Drosophila melanogaster: one gene and its partner. The gene in region 2 interacts genetically with the main gene of each other region. Each region holds a gene or a part of one and is shown on either strand. Other genes may lie near its edges.

Region 1 (3,600 bases), on a different chromosome or scaffold from region 2:
AAAGACAGAATCGGAGGAAGAAAAGCGAAACTCATTGCGGAAATGGACAAAAACCGAAAATCGCAATGTTCAAATGCAATTTCCCCGTGGCGTCGGTCAGAGCTAAAGCCAAATGGTGGCGGCGGCCCGCCCCCCGGAAAAGCGGAAAAGCCCATCCCGTCCCATGCCGTATCTTCGACATTGGCTGACACTTGCAAAACGAGACAAGCACTAAGCGGCTTAAGCAACCCTCGCAGATGTTGGGTTTTCACCAGGGCAAAGGCATATCGCATTCGAAACCTAGAAGAGGTTGCAAAAATGTAAACTATTTAGCGCTTTTACGCTTTGCAGGAAGGTTGCATGATGACGACGATGACACAGCCCCCACCACCCATTCTAAGCCACATACAGTGGATATCGGCTATAGCGGTCGATACCCAGTAAAAATTATATTGATATTGATCGCTGGATAAAAATATCTTCTTGGGGGCTAGGAAATATAGGATATATCGGTCGTAGATTTCTCAACCGTCTTTAGCGATAGTTGCGTGACACGAACAGCGATCCCACTCCAACGGGCAGTGGGGTTACTTGCGACAAAGCTCCTTATCGAGTAACTCATGTGATTCCGTTCCATTCCTTCGTCGGCGATTTCATAGCTACACATTCTGTTTGAATCACGCCCGTGTTTATCAGCTCGATGACGTCATTGCCAATATAGGCGAAACAAGAAAAAACACAGCTAATAAACCAAAAATCATTTGGGAGACATTAGCGCAGGACAGAGATGGCGTGCTTAACAGCGCGATCACTGTTAGTATTATGTAAACGCTAATGAGCGTAGCGTAGATGCTGTCGCTGTTGTTGTTGTTGTTTTTATGGTTTTTGCTGTTTTTCAAGAGGAGCAATGAAAATCAATTAAAACTAATTGATTCAAGAGTCAAATTCAAACGGTTGCAGCGGCAGCAGCGGTGGCGGCGGCGGCGGTAGAGAGAGGGGCTGTCGCAACAACAAAAAGAAAACCTACTACCATTTAAGCGAACAATGTGCAATAATTAGAAAATGCAATCGCACACACACACACACGCAGATAAACTGTGTAATAAATTAAAATGGGGACAGTGGCGTGGGAGGGGCGTAGAGGGTTTGGGGGGGAGGTTTTGGGAAAGTAGGATTGAAAGAGGGGGAAATTTCGCATCTACTTACTCTCCAGCAGCCGCTGTATCAAGCTGTCCACATTCAGATCGAAGTCGCCCATTTTTCAGCAGCTAAATTGTTCTTCTATTGGCCGCGTTTTGTTGTTGTGGCCAGCTGTTCCAGAATTCCGATTGGAATTTTTGGCGCAACAACTACACGCACGCACACACAAGCACACACACACGCACAGCGACGCCCGTTAGCTTATAAACTTGTATTGTATGCTATTGTAAACAATAAACTTTGTTTAATTCAAATAGTCGTTATATTCTTTTCTCTTTTTTGGTCGTTTTCTTACTTGCCGCAAAAGGCAATTTCACTTTATGCTCTCTTTTTTTCTTATTGAGATTTTGTACGGTGGGCCGCTGATGTTCACTGATGTTGCACGAGGGGCAAGAACAGAAAAAAAAATATATAGACGCACGGCTGATCGACTTTCGGGATCGCAAATCGATCAAGGAATATATAAAATATATATATCTATATAGATGTGTTAGATCTCTGCAGGGGGAGAGGAGCTGAGAAATCGGCTTAACTGAGAATTTATAAACCAGCGTAATCTTTTCTCCGCCAATAACAAAACTCGTCGGACAGCTAGCTGAGTATGACCGTTTGCCGGAAGGCTGAAAAAGTTTTTGGTGGCGGCGGCTTTACAGTTCGACTTTATCGATAGTCCGATGGGCAACGAAGCCAGCCAGTGCTCAGCAACGCGGGAGTTAACTGTCAAAGTCCTTTTTCGCACTTCAACGCTCGTGCCTTCAAACTTCTTACTGTGAACTCAAATCTCGACCGAACAAGTTGTGTGCTCCCTATGATTTCGTTATTAACTGATATTAACTACACACACATTTCTCTAATCCTTGCACACACATAGCTAAATCGAAATGGCTCTTTCGACCATCTGTCCGTTCCTCGTCGCCAACAAGAAAAACTCGAAGCACGCGGCTTTGCTATTTTTGATCTCAAGTGGATTGATGATTTTTAATATGGGCGACTTTATCGACGACTTGATGATCATACGGCTAGATTAAGATCAATTGTTCGAAATTGAAGTCAAAATAGTCATTGCCGGGAACGAAACCTTTATTTTTATTTGTTTTTGAAAGATGCAGATAAGCCTAAGAACTTGCGGAAGAAGTAACCATCTAATTGCAATCGTATCGAATTACTATTACTAAGCTGAGTTCACATGTTCCACATCATTTACAACTTTGAGTAATTATACCCTGACTAGTAATTTTATGTATAAAAAAATGTCAAGTGCAGGCTGCAATTTAAAATTCGCGCTGAAATAAGAGTAATTTTCCGGAAAAACTATTTACATATAATACATATAAATGCTTCGATATATATAGTACATAAAACCTATCGAGTGCCTCGGCATCCAGGCAAACAGCTGTTTCTGCCTCGATAGACCCCGGCAAAATGCATCTAATATCGATAGGCGATAGGTCGCGCACTTAAGAAATTGAATTTACCTAAAGTAAACACCAAACGAATCATAAAGCTGGGCCGCGCAATGAACGGAATGAACTATTTTCCGAACTATTACTCCATCGAGGACATATTCGTGACCCAGGAGAAGGTGGAATGTCGGGTGAACACCAAGCTGCAGCGGATGGGTAAGTGATTGGCTTGGACGGACACGCACATTCTGGCCAGTAATCCGACAATATTGAGTTGCTTGCAGGATTCCTGGACTCCGGCGCGGAATCGGATGACCTGGAGCCCGGCAGGACGGTCAATCTGCCGTTGTGGTACATCAAGGAGCTGAAGGTAAACAATGCCTACTTCACCGTCGCCGTGCCAGATATCTATCGCAATGTGCATAAGGCCGTCTGCGAGGCGGAGACCACGCACATCGAGCTGGGACGCCTGCACCCGTACTTCTACGAGTTCGGTCGCTATCTGACGCCCTACGATCGCAACCATGTCATCGGCCGCATCATCTTCGAAACGCTGCGCCAGAGGGTACGTCATCTCCTGGACATCTCGAAGAGCGACGGACAGGCAGCCAAGGCGGAGCATCGACTGGATAACATCGAGGCCAAGCTGCACGAGGCTGGAGTGCGCACCAACAGTCAGGTGGGTGGCTGTACTACCAGTCAAGTGGGCACGGAGTGTTATATTAATCACATAATTTCAGTACATCGAATGGCTGCAGATGACGGGCAACAAGATTCGCACCTCGGAGCTGGTCGAGGAGCACCAAAAGAAGCGGCGACGTGCGGATCGCAGCGATGACGAGGGCGATGCTCTGCCCAACAGCAAGCGGGCCACCTTGTAACAAGCAGAGTAAAACAACAAAAACAGACCACTGATGTACTGTGGAACTGTAGCAACTTTATTTCGTCCATTCGTTCGGTGGCCATAGGGCAGCCTGACCTCTCAAAAATACACTTTTCATCTACTCTATGCACACGG
Region 2 (3,863 bases):
AAATAGCAAACAAAAATGAAATCAAGGGATCTTGTACGAGATGCGCACAAAATCCCCCCTACATATATATTCAAATATTAATCTTGTAGTACGCATTATATCTATTTCGTAGTTGTTCCATTATATCTCTCATACATACACAATATGCCTTTCTACTGATACTAAGCCCCGTACTTCTCCTGTGCATTATTATAGCCTGCTGAGCGCAACAATCAGTTTTACGTTTGTATTTCGGATTTCTTTGGAAATTGTACTGATTTTTTGCTTTTGATAAGACAATTATGGTTTTTATATACATATATCTATATAAAATGTTATCCTGTATTGATTATGAATCTATTACCATTATGTACTTTAATCAAACAAAATACATTATTAGATTTTTGCGAATTTACTTTCTCAGAGTTGAAGATTTTGGATATTTTGACATCACGTAAGTAGTGCATAAAGAAAACAGGAACGAGTAGAGTATTGTTAAATACCTGATAAAAGGAAAGCAAGCAAATCTAACAAACCCAACAAAATATTTTTAAAAAAACAAAAATTAAGAGTGGAGCTATGGCTTGACTTGACTGTGGATTGGGATTTAGGTGTATAGTTTAGTATTCACAACGTTCACTCACCCAGAGAAGGTATGTTGATACAAAGGGCATGCGATAACTTTAAGTAGGTACGACCAAGCTCATAGGAACAGATTTGCTGTACGTCGCTGATGTCGATGAGGAGATCTGTGAAGATATGAGCAGTCAATAAGCTACTCTTTAGGCAAAATGAATGCACTACTCACGGGAGGTGCCCTCTGTCCTGCAGGTCATGTACACGCAAGCGGCGTAGATGTGGGTGCTCTTCCTACCGCGGGTCAGATGCCTACCCAATGCCATCTTGAAGAAATTCAGAGCAGTATCTGCATAGTGCTGGGATAGCTGCAGCTGCTGGCAGAGTAGTGTGATGTCCTTCTTGGCCTTTTTGATGGTCACCTCGCGGGATTCGGTGCCCGATCCCACCTGAAACTTGCCGTAGCCATAGTTGGTGGCACCGCCCGACGACTCGGCGGACACAAACTGGCCAATTGCGGCTGCTCCATGGCCAACTTCCTCGAACTGCACTTCGGAAACAATGAGGGAATCCTCCAATACCGAGCCGCAGTTCATGCAAACTACAGTGAATGGGTGAACGTCGTTAGTGTCATGGATATGGGTCCTTGGATGTCATTATACCTCGATCTCCGCGAGCATTGTCTTCCTCGATCTCGTTGGATCCGCAATTGCGACATTTTAGGCCCGTAGACATGATTGTTTGTTCTTTGCTTTAATAAACACTGCCACCTGCAACGCTTCGTTTTTATCCGTTGTTTTGACAGTTTAAACTACTTGTTTGCTGTCATTTGAAAGCCATTTTCGAGTCTTTTTTAAACAATTTGCAATTTGTTGCCAATTGAATCAACACGCTTGGAAAACATCTGATTGAACCCCGCCGGCGTTGCTTAACACTGATGATAGAAGAAGAAATGCTAGAGATGCGCATTTCTCAATCAAGAACGACATTGGCACAACTGCTTGAAAAACTTAAAAGAGATATTAAAATTGTAAAAATTACGTAAAGCTGGTTCCAAAAATTATGTTCTAGTTTATTTGGCAAATTATCAATCAATATTTGTTTTTCATTTACATTGGAATATATAATAATACAGGTTTAGCATCGTGTTCTTAGGTGCACATCTCTAGTAGAAATAGTGTTAAAGTGCCGGTAAGGTGACTAAGTATTTTGTTGACATATTGAACAAGTTGGACCAAAAGGAGTATACAGTCATCTTGGACTTAACTTATAAATATTAAGTAAATATTTTAATACATATTTATTTTAAATTTACATATTTATATTTACCGTGTGTTCTTGCTTTTGTAACAGTGTCAAGCTTTGACGTCATATTTAAAGAAAGTCACCCCACTTTGTTCCACCCTGAGCAGCGGAATAAACAACAAGTCAAGTCAGCGTTCAATTTTCGAAAGTCAACTTGAATTAAAAAAAAAGAAAAGCCGGTCAAAATATATCAGTCATGGGCGATGCTGATCGTGCGATGAACGAACCAGAAGCCGCGAAAACTGTGTCCGGAATCCAGGTGATTCCCGCCGAGGATGTGGCTTCCATTGAGGATATAATCACAATCGATCCGGACTGCTACGAGCTTGATCTGAATCATCGCCGGATCGAGAAGCTGGAGAACTTCGAGCCGCTGACTCGAATCGAGCGCCTGTTTCTGCGCTGGAATCTGATCAAGAAAATCGAGAACTTGTCCAGCCTGAAAACACTGATTGAGCTGGAGCTGTATGACAACCAGATCACCAAGATTGAGAATTTGGACGACTTGCCCCACCTGGAGGTGCTGGACATTAGCTTCAATCGTCTGACGAAGATAGAGAACCTTGACAAGCTGGTCAAGCTGGAGAAGGTCTACTTTGTGTCGAACCGGATAACCCAAATCGAGAACCTGGACATGCTCACCAATCTGACCATGCTAGAGCTGGGGGATAACAAACTGAAGAAGATCGAAAACATCGAAATGCTCGTGAATCTACGACAGCTCTTCCTGGGCAAAAATAAGATAGCAAAGATCGAGAACTTGGACACATTGGTCAATTTGGAGATACTCAGTCTACAGGCCAATCGCATTGTAAAAATCGAGAACCTTGAAAAGCTTGCCAACCTCCGCGAACTCTACGTTTCGGAAAACGGAGTGGAAACCATTGAAAACCTCTCGGAGAACACCAAATTGGAGACCCTCGACTTGGCCAAGAACCGGTTGAAGGGCATTGCCAATCTGGAAAAGCTGGAACTGCTCGAGGAGCTGTGGCTGAACCACAACGGAGTCGATGACTGGAAGGACATTGAGCTGTTGAAGGTGAACAAGGCGCTGCAGACCATCTACCTGGAGTACAATCCGCTGGCCAAGGATGTTCGCTACCGCTCCAAACTGCGCGACATACTGCCGCAGCTGCAGAAGATTGATGCCACCCTGTGCAAGGTGCCCGGTACCTAGATGGAACCACTGTAAACCCCTTGAAAGACTAATCCACGGCGTTGCGCCACTACATTTATATCGATTAACTTTGAAAAACTGCGTTTAAAATATACATACAAATTAACCACTAATGGTTCTATCTACGAATTGGTGGGTGCAGTGATTTAGTTTGCTTTCAGAAGAAGGTATATTTGGATAAGTTACTCAAAGCGTGAAGTTTACCTAATGAGTCAGATAAATTATCCATCTAGGCTACCGCCTAACATATAAAACTAAAAAGTATTTTATATATACACATAAATAATGTAAATTGAATCTAAAAAGATGAAAACATTTTAGTTAAACAATTCTGGTTTCTCTTAAACCAAAACAATACATTTCAGTATGTCAGAGTACATTCAACGGAATGTATTTTTATTTATATCAAAGTTATTGTTCTATCGATTGAAATCACAGAGCTCAACTGATAAGTGGCTTTCATAAAGGCCTTTGTCTTCATTCTTTCCCTTTGTGGCAGACATGTTGTGCAAATATGCTTATCATTTCATTTTTTGACAAAGTATATGAGGCGTCAGTTGGATTGCTTTTGGAGGAGTTCATCAATTCGAAACAGCGTAATAGTCAGAGGCGCTCACTTTATGAGGACCTCCATAGAAGTCCAGAACAAAGATATTGCTAATTTCCAGTTCGCAAAGGTAGAAATTGTGAGCTGTAAAAGAAACAACGTATTTATTATTAGTACATACATATCGAGCTCTTAATGAGGTTCGCTTTCACCAACCTTTTACCCAATTGATGGCAGCTGGATGACGCCTCACATAGGCATCCAGCGATGGCTGATAGC

The links.
Region 1: of sds22 (region 2) and flw, changing one suppresses a phenotype caused by changing the other (phenotypic suppression), as found in Drosophila melanogaster (one study listed by BioGRID).

Annotation. Positions count from the first base shown.
Region 1 is NC_004354.4:10,384,149-10,387,748, reverse strand, and holds the start of flw (flapwing), read right to left. Parts: upstream 1,790-3,600; 5' UTR 1,238-1,789; coding exon 1,186-1,237; intron 1-1,185. Other genes in the region: Psf3 (partner of Sld five 3), read left to right, coding at 2,696-2,798, 2,867-3,261, 3,323-3,463. UniProt on the Drosophila melanogaster protein: Required for cell adhesion in non-muscle tissues and in maintenance of muscle attachment. Vital for larval development.
Region 2 is NT_033777.3:17,389,873-17,393,735, forward strand, and holds sds22 (sds22), read left to right. Parts: upstream 1-1,721; 5' UTR 1,722-1,835; intron 1,836-1,884; exon of another isoform or gene 1,885-1,908; 5' UTR 1,909-2,056; coding exon 2,057-3,037; 3' UTR 3,038-3,148; downstream 3,149-3,863. Other genes in the region: Brf RNA polymerase III subunit, read right to left, coding at 624-728, 788-1,156, 1,218-1,290; CREG (cellular repressor of E1A-stimulated genes), read right to left, coding at 3,619-3,728, 3,801-3,863.